Linked DNA regions of Schizosaccharomyces pombe. The gene in region 3 interacts genetically with the main gene of each other region. Each region holds a gene or a part of one and is shown on either strand. Other genes may lie near its edges.

Region 1 (4,496 bases), 4.0 Mb from region 3:
GTATAGGGTACTTTACATTTTCTTACGTTAAAGCGGGAGCTTCAACAGTTTTTTGCTGGGAAATTAATCCATGGAGTGTTGAAGCGTTAAGGAGAGCTGCTTTGAAAAATGGCTGGTCTATTTATGTAGTTCGAAATGGAGAAAACTATGAATTTAAAGTAGGAACTCATCGTATTGTAGTTTTTTTGGAAAGCAACGTTTATGCAGCTGAAAGGTTCTCCAAAATGAATATTTCTGCTCGACATATAAATTTGGGAATGCTCCCCTCTAGTGAAAAATCCTGGTCAACCGCTACTTCAATTTTAAAGCGAGAATCACATTCCTTTATACATGTTCATGAGAACGTAAAAGATGAAGATATCGAAACATACTCTTCTGAAGTGAATTCATGTTTTTCAAAAATGTTGGCTAAAAATACAGTTTGTGTTACAAATTGTGTCAAATCATTTTCACCACGAGTGTCACATATCGTTTACGATATAGAGACGGTTTAGTTAATGGTAATTTTGTTAAGGTGGTTTTTGGTTATTTTACAAAATATGTTATTAGAATGGTATATGTTATATTCTGTCTAGAAGTTTATTTAACTTCCTATTGAAAATAGAGAAAGCATGTCTGAATCTGGTAAAAGTAAGGTAGAAAAAAGAAAGACTTTGTGGTGAAAAGGAGAATCTAGTTAAGCGAAATATTTTGTGCCTCAACAACGTATCAATATATGCAATGAATGAAGTCAGCAAATGCTCTTTTAATAATGGATTGATTAAACAAAAAGATGAGAAAAATATCATAGACGTGCGAAAAATTACCATCAATATGCAAGTTACAGGAAGAAAAGAAAATGACCTAATCCCACTCATGATGCACAGTAACTGAATTAAACGATTCGAAGGGATCATCTCCATGATCTGCACCCGATAAATTAGATAGGGGAACTTCAACTGTTTGTGTGTTTTGGGGAGAATGAGTAATATCCAAACTTTTACTTTCCTTTAGATGGGAAATATTAGGATTGCCTTTTTCATCAATAGGGGCAAGCTTTGGAATAATCGGAGGCTCAGTGTGCCTTAATAGAGCCCATTGGACATTTTTAAAAAAAGGATGAAGCTTCACGTCTGCAGCACCAGCCTGTGACCCAAGGCGATCATTTTCATCTTTCACTAATAATTTTCTAATCAAATTCTTGCAAAGGCTGGAAATTGAAGGAGCATCCGCATATTCAGGGAATATAACATCCTTGTGTAAAATATTCGAAAAAGTCATGTTTCTATTTTTACCTTTGAAAGGAGTCGTGGCATATAGCATTTCATAAAATAAAATACCCAAAGTCCACCAGTCAACAGCGCTTGTATGACCACAACCCTTGATAACTTCTGGAGCAATATACTCTTCTGTGCCGACAAATGAATTTGTGCGAAAATCTGCGATACATGATTTTGTATCCAATGCGTAAGCATTTTGAGCGGATGGTGCATTCCTGGCCTGAATTACCGTTGGTGCACCGGCAGAGTTTGATTGTTTAGATAAATCAAAATCAGAAAGCATAATATGTCCTGACTCATGCAACAAAATATTTTCAGGCTTCAAATCTCTATAAATAAATCCCATCAAGTGGAGGTATTCTAATGCAGCGGTAACTTCTGCAATGTAAAATTTGGCCTCGTTTTCTGATAAACAACGGCCAGGACGTCGTTGCAAAGCTCGAAAAAACTCACCTCCCATACAATACTCCATACATAAATAAAGGTATTCATCAGATTGAAAAGAATGATAAAGTGTAACAATGAATGGGTGGTTACTTGTCGCAAGAATGTGCTGTTCTGCAAAAGCTCGTTTGCTTTTGTTGCGTTTAATCATTTCTTGCTTACTCAAAACTTTCATGGCATAAAATTTGCCAGACTTTTTTTCTCTAACAAGATAAACTCGACCGACATCTCCCTTGCCAAGTAGAAAAACCTTTTCAAAGCTAGATGGACCAACCTCAACATCACATATCTTGATAGAGTTGGAAGAATATGTTCTCGCTCTCGTTGCAACAGTTTTCTTAATATGAGCCAATTCTTTTTCCTTCCCATGAGGACTGAAAATATCTTTTAACTTTTCTCGCTGAACTGAGGTATCAGCACCATTACTACGAGAAACATTTCGCGACTTGGGAACATCTTTCTTCTTCCTCCCACTTTTAAAAAACGATTTTTTTATTACGGAAATTGAATCAGTACCACTCCCGTCACCACCTTCTGCGGAACTACCAGTGCCATCAATTTTGCGATCAGACTCTTCCTCGGTCTGCGACTCAGGTGCACCAGAAGGTGATTGATTTGCAGCATCGCTATCTTCCGACGTCAATTCTTTTTCCTTCTTTCGAGAAAAAGCAAACTTTCTGCTATCCTTAAAATGCAGCCTTATGAAGGCTCGAAACTTGGATGGCTTGGCAGTGCCGGAATGTTTCCAGTGTCCTGTGTCATCTTTCTTAGCTTCTTCTAGGTGATCTTCAACATTGATCCTTCCTTCCTCAGAGCTCTCACCATCATGAAGTTCATTCATTTGCTTTTGAAAGTGCTACGAGTCGGTCGCAATACAATTCAATTCCACTGATATTTTTGTGTATGGCGGAAAGTACACCGGATGACATTACTGAGACACTGACACTTATGATATACTAGAAATATAACCGACTGCGTTATCGATCGTTGTACCTCACAAACCGTAAGAGCAATGTTTATATAGCATACAGGAAAATATATGAAGAGCAAGAATCTGTCTATGTTTATTAAACCAAACAAATCAAAAACTATAAGTGAAAGTTATGCATGGATTGCCTAGCTTCATACAAGAGTTTTCAAAAAAGATTTTACATTCTATACTTCCAAATTATAATGAAATGGACTCCTGAAACAGCATTAAAATAACCCAGTCATAGTATACAGTGATGGAAAACATTAAAAAATTATATTCATGAGTAACCCAACATAAAAATGAATAAGATGCCCATGAGGCAACAAAAAGCTTTTTTATTTATTAAAGATCATAACTTACCAACGATCACGAATCAAACCAGTAAAACAAAACAAAGAACTCAATAATTGACCGCTAAGTTTAACGAAGAAATAGCCAAGTTACGTTTCCGTTCAATACTCTTTTCCGTAACAAGTTTGGACCACCGATCAGCAGCCTCTTTAATAAACGAATCGGGTTGAAAAGAGTATTGAACCAAATCACTCAAAAATGAGTAGATGGCAGAAGAGGAATTGCATGCTAAAATTTGTTGCTTTAAAGATTTTAGAATCGTAAGTGCAACTCTAAATAAGCATACATAACCATCACAAAACAACATGTCAAATATTCTAAAAGATATCTAAAAAAAAGTAGTTAGTAAACAATTCATACTTTAATAATCTTTCAAAACCACTTATCGTACATTCGTAGGGAGTGTATCAGTATATACACTTAAAAACCAATGAAATGAAATGGCGTCCAAATCAACCCCAAGTAATTCTAAATGGGAATAGATTTCCGGTAATGACTCTTTCACAAAGCTTTTCAAAACCAGCTGATCAGCTCGCGAAGTCATCAGGTCAGGAGTAAAGTATTTCGGAGGTAAAACGTTTTCAATTATGCTCATTAGCATATAAAACGCGTCTTCTTCTGAAGCATATAATAAAAGAAGAAAGGCACCAATAACATTCATTCCTTGACAATAGCCTATGTGTGGATTGTGGCGGCTATAAGCAACTAAAATTCGTCGTAATTTCGGGATTCCAGGTCCTTTTCCTCCAAAAAATACATTTTTAGCCATAGTCCTGTTAATATCCATATCGATTTGCGCAACACTCGCTGATTCAACCTCATCAGTACGTGATAATAGTTCTTCATAATAGCCAGGTGAATGTAATTGATAAGCGCCTGAGCACTCTAACCAAACTTTAGCTTTATAGCACAAAGGAACACCATTTTTCACAAGTTCACGAAATTTATGCCATCTTTTTTTACCATGACGCCCTTTAACACCTATGCTAGATATTCCTAGTAAACCAATTGTATCCTCATCGGTAATTTTATATTTTTTGTACAAGCGTTGAAAAAACAAGCTCCAGTTTTTTTGTCGGGTACTTTCTTTCATATCCAATAAAATATCTTTTTTATTTAGCAACAATGGAGAATCGTTGAGCCCATCTAACTCGTTGCCAAAAAAATCATCAACCAAGCCATAATTGCTTTCATAGAACGACAGAGTCTGTTTCTGATTTAATTTTATGTCCTCCGGACATAAAGGGGTGTCGTGACTTGGTCGTTTTTGTAAAAAACCAAATTGATCGAGAATTTCCTTGGAATTATTATCTAAATAATCTTTCCAATCATTTCGCATTGAGGGCGGCTGGGTTTCCTTAGGAATCATATTTCCCAACTCCACAGAACCAATTGAAGGCATCGAAGGTGCTGTTGATGAAAGAGAAAGAGGCTTGTTATTTAAATTTGAGGTGCTCAATAGCTTGCTA
Region 2 (3,618 bases), on a different chromosome or scaffold from region 3:
ACAAAATAGATTTCATTTGGCGTATCTCCAGCCGTCTTTGCCTTTTGTTGTGGATTCCAAACGTTCCTTGATACCGTTATACTTTCCCTTTTTGTTTTGTGTGGTCTAACTAGATTGGCTCGTTTTAATGTTTCTGTCAATTCCATTCCTAAAGATGGATCTGGCAAGTCTCAGTTTTTCGAAGGAACGCCCATTCCTACCACCCTCTCCTTAGTAACCGTTTGCGGAGTTTGTATCTTAAAGGGAAAGACTCATGAAAATCTACCTTGGGGTGAGTGGTGTGGAAACACACCTTTTGCATTTCACCCGCTTGTGGTTTTGTTTGTGTTGAGTGGAATTGCTATGACTAGTAAGAAACTCAAAGTTCCAAAAAGTACGTTTCTATTACATTCGCTCAAATATGTTTAGAATGCTCTTTTTTTTTATTTTGTTTATATTAACTGATCGATTTTTTAGTTTGATCAACTGATGCTTTTATTCAATAGAATCCAAATGAAACTTTACAGTACAGCGATCTGGGTATACACAGTTTTTTTCACTTTTTGCTTTTGATGTTACTCGCATGCGAAGCCTTTTCCTCTCTTAAATTTATAATCCTTACTGAATCTCTTCTCATATCCTGTTTTTCCTTTTTTCTTCCATTTCGAAGATAAGTCTGTCCTTCACCTATTCGACTTAACCATTTTTAACGTAAATGCACTCATCATTGTTCATTCCTTCCCCCTTTTCCAAATATGTATTTCCGTCCTTTTAACAATTAGAAGCTGTTTTTCAACTTACCAGTTTTCTATTGCTCTCTTTATGAAAAACTTATGAAATTGAATTATTTCAAGTGATTGTACCCTCAACGGTAAAATATAGTAAAATTCCTTTAATTATTATTTCTTATATAGTCATCATGATGAGCAACCAAAAATAAAATTCTTTATAAAAAAGAAACTTTCCCAAAATGATGGTGAAAAGTAATTTTTCCTTCTAAATAAATAATGTTTTGTAAATATACACTATGAGGATTTAAAATCTCCTCGTCAAAAACTAATGAAGACCCTGTTTATTATTTTTTACAACAGCCACAACCGGATCAACCATTCCTTGGTTTTCAGAACCAAGTCCCTTCCCCCGAGACCAACCCATCATTTCTAAAAGTTGTTTTCCTTTGCCATTATTTATAGCGGGAGCGCTAGAACCAACAACATGACCGTCCATACGCTTTTTTGTATTGGTTGACACACTTCCTTCCTGTATTTGCACGCGTTTCCTTTTTTTCAAACCTTTAGGAGTCATTTCAACAAGTTTGGATTTTCTTTTCTTTGACAATTTCACGTCAGTTTGAAGTGCAAAATGACGATCATACTCAATCATGCTCAACGAAGTCTCTTCTTCCGCAATGTGGCTCATATAATCTAGTTCCACTTCTTTTCTCCTTTCACCAAACAGCATTTCATATTTTTCTAAAGCATCCTCATTGCTCAAGTGCTTCGATGGCTTCTTTTTTGGTTGAACAATCTTTGGCTTCCTTGGAGGAGGTTTTGGAGATGCCTCTACATTTTCCCATTGAGAAGATGTAATAAAAGAACCGTCTTCCACAATAATTGCCATTGTATTAATAAATGTTCGAAAATTCAGCAAATTTACAAAAACCAGCCTGAGTTGGCATTGGTGCTATAAAGAATGCACAACCCAAGAAACTTAAATTTTATGAGATCAAGGATAATAATAGGGATTTATTAAAATCAAGCCTGACTATTCCACAAATTCGCTCTCAATTATAAAAGTTTTGTTCGTGCAGTATAGCTTGCTACTATAAACCAAGTGTGACTTGGTTGATGAATAATTGTTACTTTGGGTAAGTAAATACTATCGCAGTGGTTTTGATCAATTATTAGCAATACCCTGATAGAAAGGCTCAAATATAATTTTGCATGTTAAAAATACTAGAATTCTTCAATGCTGTCCGGCAAAAATTTCTTCAAACAATCAAGTTTTAAGTTGACGCCGCAAGATGTCTTTCATTTTCTTAAAAGAAAAAAAACAAGCTAGGTCATCAATAAAATAATATGATACTGGAAATAAACATTCTCTGATGCACATTTACTAATCTTTCCGTCTGCAAGTTTCATAACCTCATATTAGGAAACCAACTACCCTGCATGGATTAATATTTAGACCTTAGACTACAATTTGAACAATGTTCTTCAAACACACCTTTTCTAATCACTAGAATAACAGGTCCAAACATTTGTACCATACATTCCGTATGCACACTACTAAACAAAATCCCTTTATTCACCTTAAACTATGCAAAGATAACAGCAACTACTTACATTGGAAAGGTAAAACAAGTAGGTAAAAGTGTATAAAACAAACTTTTCATTTCTAAAAAACATAAACGTCAAACAACACCCAATAACGACTTTCATGAAAAACACAAGCCTATTCTACAAAGACAGGGCTCATGTTTTCCTTATAGTTCTCGCCAAGTCAAGGAAAGTTTCGATTCAACGAGACACACAGAACAAAAAAAAACTATTTAATCTTAGAGCTGATTTCCTCGCCCAATGCCTTTATTTCTTCAGGAGAAATAGGATAAGAGGGCCAGCCTACTCCTAATCCATATTCTTCGTTAGGCTTGGGAATGATATGGAAATGAACATGATCCACAAATTGGTGAGCAATGCGACCATTGTTTTGAAGTACATTGTAATTTTCAGGACCAATAGCCTTTGTCACCTTTTTGACAAGGGGAAGAATATCTGCACAAGACTCATCGCTCAGTTCATGCATCTTAGCGGCGTGCTCCTTGGGAATAACTAGTGCATGTCCCTTAGATGTAGGAGCAATATCAAGGAAAGCCAAAGACAAGGCTGTTTCAGCTAGTTTCACACAAGGAATATCTCCTTTAACAATTTTACAAAATATGCAGCTCATAGTGGTGGTTAGCTTAAGTCAAGGATGTGCAAGTGGGAAAATTATCGAAATTTACCGTAGTTAACGTAATAAACAGTGTGAATAAGTCAAATGTTTTTAAAAAAAATGTAAATTTTAAAAACGACTTACATGAAATCAATAGTTAAATTCTTCCTTAAAAATGGAGTAATCGGCGAGGTTGCATTTCTCAAAAAGCTTTGCAGGTAGTCATCCTTGAAATGCCAAACTCATGTCACACGAACAAGCCTGTAATACTAATGATATTTATTAAATATTATTTGGCATTTTAATAATAAAGTATCTTATTTTTCATTACTAATTCAGTCAGTTTTTGCCATGATCAGATGTTTTGTGACAAAAGATTTTCCTTTTGGTAGGCCATAACAAATCAAAAACCTAGCTTTACCATAAGAATGTAGGTAATTATGTACGGAAAGAAAGAAGGAATAATATGTGAGTCTCGACTAGTCAGGTTTGATTTTGTTAAGACCTTTCAGAACCAAACATGTAGAATTACTCTTGCTCTTCTATAACAGCTTTCTCAATGCAACGTTTTGTACCAAAGAGTAAATTGCAGAGGTAGTCCAGTATAAAGACAATGCCGTAGAAGTCTTAAATGCCATAAAAGATACAAAGAAAGCAGACATTATACCAGCGGTATTGAATATTTTCAGCAATCGAGAATCCGAA
Region 3 (8,777 bases):
TTTTATATAGAGCAATGTATATTTTTGGGGGACAATTATGAATAACGTATTCACTGCTATAGTACAAGTACTTAGGTAACATAAGCATATCCAACTCACCAACTACTAAGCACCAAAAAGGTTTGTTGAGACAATAAATAGTGCTCTAGCAAACTAGAAATTAATAATTCGCTTCATCTTTTAAACTTTTTAAGAAAAAAATAAATTAAACGTCACAAAAATCATGTCACAGTCTCAGTTTGATCCTTATGTACAAAATGGTGGTACCACTGTTGCAATCGCTGGCGATGGGTTTGCCATTTTAGCTGGAGATACAAGAAGTGTTAATGGTTACAACATTAATACGCGGTTTCAACCTCGCGTGCATGAAGTCGGTGATGATTTGGTCATTGGAGCATCTGGTTTCGAAGCCGATGCCCTAGCTTTAGTTAAGAGAATTCAACAAAGAATTGACTTGTATCATGATAATCATGAACGCAAGATGAGTGCACAATCCTGTGCTTGCATGGTACGGACACTTTTGTACGGAAAGAGATTTTTTCCCTATTATGTATATACAACCGTTGCCGGCATCGATAAAGAGGGAAAAGGAGAGATTTATTCTTTTGATCCTGTTGGCTCTTATGAGCGGGAATGGTGCCGTGCTGGTGGATCCGCTGCAAACTTCATTACTCCATTCCTCGACAATCAAGTGAACTTACATAATCAGTACGTTCCTGGTTCACATGGAAAAGAGAGAAAGCCAAGGAGACTTTTAAAATTGGAGGAAGCTATGAAGATTACTACTGATGCATTTACAAGTGCTGGAGAACGACACATCGAGGTTGGTGATTCAGTTCTTGTTAAGATTATCACAAAAGAAGGTGTAGAGACAAGAATTATTCCTTTGAAGAAGGATTAGATTTTTGTAAATATGACTTTTTTATGTTCCACTGTCACAGATATAGCTTCCTAGAATGGCAGCCTGCCTGTCAAGCTCAATTCCAATTTCGGATTGCATGATTATGTATGAGATTTTATCGGAGATATCCCTATTTTGAAAAGCCTAGTCTCAATTTATTTTACAAGTTAAACATTTTTTTTTGTCTTTGATGTACATTGCATAGTTTCATGGCGTATTTATGAATGTGTAGAGGATAAGTTCGAAACAACTTAAACTTGTAATTTTTTTAGTCATATTTATGAAAAGGATTAGTTAGGAAGTGATAGAATATTTGACATAAAAATCAGGATTTCAGTACATCAGTAATTTAAATTCCGTTCTTTGACTCTATGAAATCACTAGACGCTTGGCTAATTTATCATAAAGAAAAAATTATTTAATGATTTTACTTTTCTTCAATCAACCTCTTTTCATCCATATTTTATTTTCGCATCAATGAATAAAAATTTATGATGGGTAAGTAAATAGAATTATCTGATTTGTTATTTTGTGGGCATCACTTCTGTATTCATGTATTATTAATGAAACTTACTTAGTTTTCATTTATGTCTCTCTGTGTACTATTAATTTAATTCAAAAAATTCAGAAATGACCTGTCAAAATAGCCTCTTATGAATGCGGTTAATGTATGAGTTATTGACTGATAAAAAAACTAGATGCAGGCACCCTTGCTAAATTAATCAATGATGATGATGATTATTTTATTTTATAGCTTGACATTCGTTCTTTTTTTTAACCTTTTATTAATAATGGGTTAAATTATAACATCATATCGACTGGGGATGTAGTTTAGGGGTATAACGTTTCATTCGCATAGTTCGCACCTTGAAAAGGTCCCGGGTTCGATTCCCGGCATCTCCAATGTTAGAAACTATTTTTCCTTTTTATCCACATTTGTTTTATTTATTGACTACACGGCAAACAGGTTACATACACAAATGTATACTAGAAAAAATATAAAAGTGAATTTACTAATATAAGTAAGATGAGAACATTCTCTCAATGAATACACAAAAAATTTAAATCTATGACTTTGAGGAAGTAGTTAAAATAAATTTGTTCATGTAGCTAGCATAAATCATCGGCGTTAGAAAAAGCGGTGTAAGAATCATGTAAGTTCGAAATGTAAGTTTCTTCAGGAGAAGAATTTAGCATTTTGTGCAAATGAATTAAAGTATCTAAAGCGTTAACATATTAACAATAATTATTATATTCAAAAATTTACCAGAAAACGTAGAAAGTCCATCGATAAACAAGGTTTTTTTTATTCTTTCGAAATGCGATTTACAAGCATCTGCTGTCCATAGGTGATTAGCATATTCTGATAAGCATTTCCAATCAATCATCCGTTCCTCTGCAACATTAAGGTCCATCATTCTGAATTTAATTAGCTTCTTATTTAAAATTTTATAATTGGAGTACCTTTCAATTAACCATATACTATCGCCAAGTTTGAAAGGGGAACTATTATGTATATCTCTGGAAATTAGTGTGTAATACTTCCACCTACAATGATGACGGTGTCGATTTCTCATGTTTTTAGAAATTAGACTCCATTGAATAGGGGATGAAGGATTGCTTTGCAAGTATTGATTAACCGTTTTGATTAATTTTTCTTTCTCCTGGATAGTCCATGGTGAACGATTGATTTCACCAGGTTGAATGTAGTCGCGCCAATGATCTCTGCAATGCATTGGTAGTCTATTCGACAATTTGCCAATTAAGCTCCAGGATGTTCCATGTTTTTCAACAAGTCTATTAGTTAGTTGCAATTTGGAAAGTAAACTACATACTTTTTCAATTCTGCCTCATCTTCTATAGTCCATTTACATTTTTTCTTAAATGGATTATATTTTCTGCGGAGATAATTGTAAATACTCTTTTTATCCCTATCGATAAGCTCATCTATTATTAATTAGTAACAAGTGATAGTAATTGACTTACACAAACAATTATATAATGTTTTCATTTCATCACGATGGTTATCAGACCAAACATATTGAAGAAATTGTTCATCAGACCAATTTTTTTTCTGTTTTTTAATATTTATAATAAAACAGCAAGCTAAAGACCATACCTTTTTAAACATAGCAATTTCTTTTTCCAAAGTGATAATGTCGTTTGCTCCCCATGATCCAGACGACGCTTTTTTAACGTATTGAAACCTTTCATAACCTGGAATGTTAAAATATCCCTTAAGATGCCTATACACAGTCCTTCGTGAAACATTGGGCACTTGAATTTCTAGACTTGAATTAGCGGATTTTTTTGAAAGCACTCAGGTGTCATACGAAATTGAATGAGTAAATTATTGAAAGGTTTTGGAAGTCTTTTGGTTTTAATAAGAAGATCTCTCGCAGCCACAAAGTTTAATTCGCTTTCTTTCAAAAATTCATCAATTAGTTGACTTAACAGAACCCAAAAAGTGGGTGTCCAGTTGGTGTAATCTCTACTGAATACAAAGTCTTTATATGAAGTAGTGCCTGTTTTTTTGAAGCCTCGACATGTTTCATGGTCTTTCGCACTTCCAGCAATTGCTGTTTTCACATTTTCAGGTGATACCATAGTCTCATCATAATTGTATTCATGAAAGCTTATGGGGTTTCCCAAGTAAATGAAAGAACTTGTATTTTTCGAGTCACCAATGGGTGATAAGAGTTGATCATCGACAAAGAGCTCTTCATTGTCCTCTGTATCCGGTCTGCAACTTAAATTGTTTTTTCCTTGCATAATAATGTTCACTTGTCTGAAGAAATATTAAGAAAAAAACATTGACAAAAGGTAATCAGTATAGCAAGGGACCCGGGGTGTAATAGTTCATGTAAGACAAAACCAAATAGCGCAGGCAACTTCAATTATTCAATCTATAATTGAACTTTTGATACTTTGCAATTCTGAATTCTAATTAACTAGTGAGCCTGTTAAAATTGGGTAACATTATAGAGCGTTGGTGTAGCTAAATAGTGTACGATACATGCAGTGATGGTTTTTGAGAGCATTTTTAAAAAAATTTCAAAATTTCTTAAGATGTGACTCTCTTGTTTATGATATATACATGTAAAATTTTTAAAATAGAAAATTAAGTATGAGTGGTTTAGAAGAGTTTTTTTAGTTGAAAACGTTTACAGGTATCTGCCTCATATCAAACTTAAAAAAAAAAAAGAATAAATTAAAACGATAAAATATCTCTATTGGCTTTTGTTTACTAATAATCACTATTTTTTATCAATTAGGTACAAAGTTCCTGCCTATGTTAAAATTATTAGGGTAATAACGTGTGTCACCGATATAATTACTACGATACATAGTATTTAATAACGAAACTGTAAAGCTCGTTAACTTTCCAGTGATTACCTTAACTTTCCATCTACGTTAGTTGAACCAGCGAATGTAGCTGCCATTTACCTACTCCAGGGAACACTGTTAAAAACGTCTTTTTGTGAAAAGGAAGGAAAAATAGAGGGATCTTCAAAAAAGTTATTAAATAATTCAGTGTTTCTTTTCTTTTTTTTGCTAGCAATATACCACTGTAAGTAAAAAAAAATACACTAAAGCAATGAGTCAGGAGGACGCTTTCTACGGAAAGGGTAGTTATGGAGCTAGTAGTGGAAATTCGAATATACCTCCTCAAGGATTTCAGCCAGTTTATCCAGTTGCTGGCCAGCTAGATAATACCGCTCCTTATGTCGGGGCAGTTGCTGAGGGTACAGCTGAAGGCATTGTAAGCAATGGTGAATACGCTGTTGGAGCTATGGGTGCTGCTCCTACCAACATAATAGGATCTGTCGATCAACAACCACCCGTTTCTCATACCTCTCATAAGTCTCGTAGACAGTATCCTGCTGAGGTGTTTGAACTTACAAATACCTTAGCAGCGTCACCGGCTCCCCCTTCTCTTTCAGAGCCCTCTTACGTTATGGCACGAACTCCATCCTCTTCACCATATCCTCATGATCGCGCAGAGGTGGGAACTAAATCTCTCTCTGCACAATTTGGCGGAATGTCACTTGGAGCAGATGGTGCAGCAGCTATGCCTACCAATGAGTTAGTTTCTGTTGATTTGTACAATCAAACACCAGAAATTTCTGACTTAACCTCTCCTCCTCCTCCTATTAATTTACCCTTAAGCTATTCCGCTACTGGAGCAGCTACTTCCAATTGCCCTCCCAAATATGTTCGATCCACGATAAACTGTGTACCGACAACAAATAGCTTGTTAAAAAAGTCAAAAATTCCATTTGCATTAGTCATCCGTCCATATACTAGCTTGGTCGAAGAAGATGATCCAGTTCCAGTTGTTACTGATACTATTATATCACGATGCCGCAGGTGTCGTATGTATATCAATCCTTTTAGTATCTTTATTGACAATGGCCATCGCTATCGCTGTAATTCTTGTGGTATTGTTAATGAAGTACCCCAGTCATATGACTGGGACAGTTTCAGAAATGTCCAACGTGATCGCTGGCAACGTCCTGAGCTCAATTATGCAGTTGTTGATTTTATTGCTCCTCAAGAATATATGGTTCGTGCTCCACAACCTTTGGTTTACGTATTTTTAATTGATATTTCGTTTGTATCCATATCTTCTGGTATGGTTGGTACTGCAAGTCGTGCAATTCTGGAATCATTGGATCGCATCCCCAATAAAGAAGGACGTGCAAAGGTGGCTTTTATTGGTGTAGACAGTGCCCTGCATTTTTTTTCAGTTTCCCCTGGTGCTGAAGAAGCCACCCAACTAGTTGTTTCTGATTTAGAGGAACCGTTTTTACCCAGGAATCAAGATTTGTTACTTAATTTACGCGAATGTAGACAAGGCATTGAAAACTTACTCGAGCGATTTCAATCAATGTTTGCAACTACCCGTGATTCTAGTAATGCCCTTGGACCAGGTCTTAAGGCTGCCCATCGTCTCATTGAAAATATTGGCGGTAAAATTTGCTGTCTCATTTCGAGTCTTCCTAATGTTGGTGTTGGTAAATTGGAGTTACGTGAAGATCCTAAACTTTTGGGAACAAATCGTGAATCTAGCCTTCTTCATCCCAATGACTCCTTCTATAAATCCTTCGCGGTGGAATGCTCCACGTCTCAAGTCTCTGTTGATATGTTTCTTTTTTCTTCTCAGTATCAAGATGTAGCAACCTTAAGTTGCCTTCCTAGATACACCTCTGGTAAAACCCAATTCTATCACAGGTGGAATGCTTCCCGTAGCGAGGACGCTCTTAAATTTGCTTCTGAACTTACTAACTATCTCAGTATGGAGATTGAGCTAGAGGCGGTGATGCGTGTTCGTGGATCTAACGGTCTCCGTATGTCTTCTTTCTACGGAAACTTTTTTAATCGTTCAAGTGATCTATGTGCGTTTCCTTCTTTTCCTCGCGATCAGAGTTATGTAGTAGAGGTTGTTATTGAGGACACTATCACCAAGCCCTTTGTTTCTTTCCAAACAGCTATGCTCCATACTACTTGTAACGGTGAAAGACGGATTCGTGTACTGACTATTTCTCTTCCTACTACCAATAGTATGACTGATTTATATGCATCAGCCGATCAAGTTGCCATTGCACAATATCTTACTGTCCGGGCTAGTGAAAAGGCTCTTTCTTCTACGTTGAACGAAGCCCGTGATAGCATTATAAGTAAGCTTGTAGAAATTTTGGAAGTTTACAAAAAAAATTTGGCTGGACAAAACACCGGTGCTGCGATCCCGCTTCAAATAAGCACCAATTTAAGACTATTACCATTGCTTTGTTTAGCATTGACGAAGCATACTGGATTCAGAAGATCTAGTCATATCTCATCTGACCTTCGTTCTATTGCTCTATGTTATTTAAGTACTCTGCCAACTCCTTTACTAATGCGTTACATTTATCCAACTCTTTATTCTTTGCACGATATGCCTATTGAAGCAGGAACTGTTACAGAACAGGGTGTAGTTCTCCCTTCTGCGTTAAATCTTACTTCAGCTTTGTTGCAATCTTTTGGTTTATATTTGGTTGATACACACATTCATCAATTTTTGTATATTGGTAAAGATGCAGTTCCGCAGCTACTGATAGACGCATTTGGTGTAAACTCTCTTGCGGATTTGAAAGCTGGACGTTTTACAATGCCAGTTATAGACAACCCACTTAACGTTCGTATCAATGCGATTCTCGGTAAACTTCGTTCGTTGGATAAAGGTTCAACTATTATGCCTAGTCTTTACCTTGTACGTGGTGATGGTGATCCACAATTGCGCTCATGGTTTTTCTCTCACTTCGTCGAGGATCGTAGTGAGAACTCTCCCAGCTATTTACAGTTTTTGCAGACTCTTAAAGAGAAAGTTCGTGACTAAAGGCTGTAAAATCTGGCTACTTTCTACAAAACTTTTTTAAATTGATTGTTCTGATGGTAATATATGCCTGAATTAGTGACATGATTAATTAATAATATTCAATATGGTTAAACATTCTTTGGTTTTTTGTATTTTTAAGAAAAAAAAAATTTAAATAATTGATCTAGTAAATATACTTGGTGCTTTTTATATTGATGAAAGCTATATATGTATCAAACTAAATTAGGTATTTGCGTACATGTAGCTTCCAGCCAGCTTGTACATAAATTTTAGCTTTTATACCTTGTCTATTTTCATATTACTTGATGTTGAAGTTGTTCCAAGAATAACAAAAGGTTCTAATAATTTAATTTAATTCATTACAATTGAGTTGCAGTGTATAGATTTTCAATTTCGCACTTTAGAGCTTCACATCTTCTATTTAAAGCATAAAAAAAATATTAAATATTTATTAAATTTCATTTTCATTGCAATTAGATTATATATCCAGGCGAGTATTCACTTATATTGAAAAACTAATTTAAGAATGTAATTTTGCACTGCGGTACTAGGTGCTTGGCAAGTGGTAGAATTTTGCCTTCTGCCAAGCACTCCTAATTGTAGTAATTAGATTAGAGAGTCGAAATCCTATTATTTTAAAAAGATGGGAATCAAAGAGAGGAATGCACCTTCTCAATATAAACAATCATCTCGTAAAAACAAACGAGCATGGAGGAAAAATATTGATTTGGAGGATATCGAGTCTGGTCTAGAGCAGACTAGAGATGAGGAAATAAAAGGGTATATTAGTTTTTGCATTGTATTAATTAAAAATATTTTTATTAACTTAAAACAGTGGAAATGTCGAGCACAAGCCGAATGATGCTTTATTTGTAATTGACACTCTTGGTGATGATAGAATTGCAAAAAGAAGCAGAAAAAAAATTAAACCATTAAAGGTTGATCAAATTCTTGAAAATAAGTCTTCCATAGAAAAAGTTCATTCTCATTTAACGAATAATTCAACTGAAAGCAATAAGAAAGGAAAAATTTTTTCTAGAAAAGAACTAAATAGACTACAAGCTTTGGTGTATAAAAATAAAGATGGTTTAACCGCAACTTCTGCTGCTAGTGAGCTCAAAAATACCAAACAACCAAAGGAAAGTTATGATGTTTGGGAAACAAACCCAACAGTTACTATACCTGTTAAAAGACCTTCTACATTATCTAAACTACCCGAATCTTTAACTGAGAATAATGCAAAAGTCCCAAATGTTGTTATCGCTGATCCAGGAATGTCATACAATCCTGACGCTGCAGCTTGGATGAAGCTACTTGATACCAAAGGTTCAGAGGAACTTAAGAAAGAACAGAAAAGAATTAGTGAATTAGAGGAAAAGGAAAGAATACAGAAGAAAGCTTTTGAAGACAAGGGATTAGTTTCAGACCAAGACGTTAATCACAGCATTGATTCTGATGACCAGTCTGAACACGAACAAGCAGAAACTCCGATCCCTT

Evidence for each region.
Region 1: mutations in rtf1 (region 3) and ppk14 together harm fitness more than expected from each alone (negative genetic interaction), as found in Schizosaccharomyces pombe (one large-scale study listed by BioGRID).
Region 2: mutations in rtf1 (region 3) and sqs2 together harm fitness less than expected from each alone (positive genetic interaction), as found in Schizosaccharomyces pombe (one large-scale study listed by BioGRID).

The regions. Positions count from the first base shown.
Region 1 is NC_003424.3:768,671-773,166, reverse strand, and holds ppk14 (serine/threonine protein kinase Ppk14), read right to left. Parts: upstream 2,628-4,496; 5' UTR 2,545-2,627; coding exon 844-2,544; 3' UTR 501-843; downstream 1-500. Other genes in the region: tRNA 4-demethylwyosine alpha-amino-alpha-carboxypropyltransferase Trm12, read left to right, coding at 1-494; SPOM_SPAC4G8.04 (GTPase-activating protein), read right to left, coding at 3,077-3,355, 3,419-4,496.
Region 2 is NC_003421.2:1,790,311-1,793,928, forward strand, and holds sqs2 (G-patch type RNA-binding protein), read right to left. Parts: upstream 1,765-3,618; 5' UTR 1,600-1,764; coding exon 1,036-1,599; 3' UTR 501-1,035; downstream 1-500. Other genes in the region: CDP-diacylglycerol-serine O-phosphatidyltransferase Pps1, read left to right, coding at 10-373, 457-461; hnt1 (adenosine 5'-monophosphoramidase), read right to left, coding at 2,527-2,928; protein Cox18, read right to left, coding at 3,456-3,618.
Region 3 is NC_003424.3:4,795,256-4,804,032, forward strand, and holds rtf1 (RNA polymerase I termination factor Rtf1), read right to left. Parts: upstream 3,873-8,777; 5' UTR 3,674-3,872; coding exon 3,235-3,673; exon of another isoform or gene 3,188-3,234; coding exon 3,021-3,187; intron 2,976-3,020; coding exon 2,888-2,975; intron 2,849-2,887; coding exon 2,737-2,848; exon of another isoform or gene 2,699-2,736; coding exon 2,366-2,698; exon of another isoform or gene 2,321-2,365; coding exon 2,169-2,320; intron 2,122-2,168; coding exon 2,012-2,121; 3' UTR 1,940-2,011; downstream 1-1,939. Other genes in the region: 20S proteasome complex subunit beta 6 Pam1, read left to right, coding at 224-901; sec24 (coincidence detector Sec24/Sfb2 subunit), read left to right, coding at 4,500-7,280; rRNA processing protein Rrp16, read left to right, coding at 7,924-8,060, 8,116-8,777. UniProt on the Schizosaccharomyces pombe protein: Mediates site-specific replication termination at the polar replication barrier RTS1, a barrier which ensures that replication of the mat1 locus in S.pombe occurs in the centromere-proximal direction.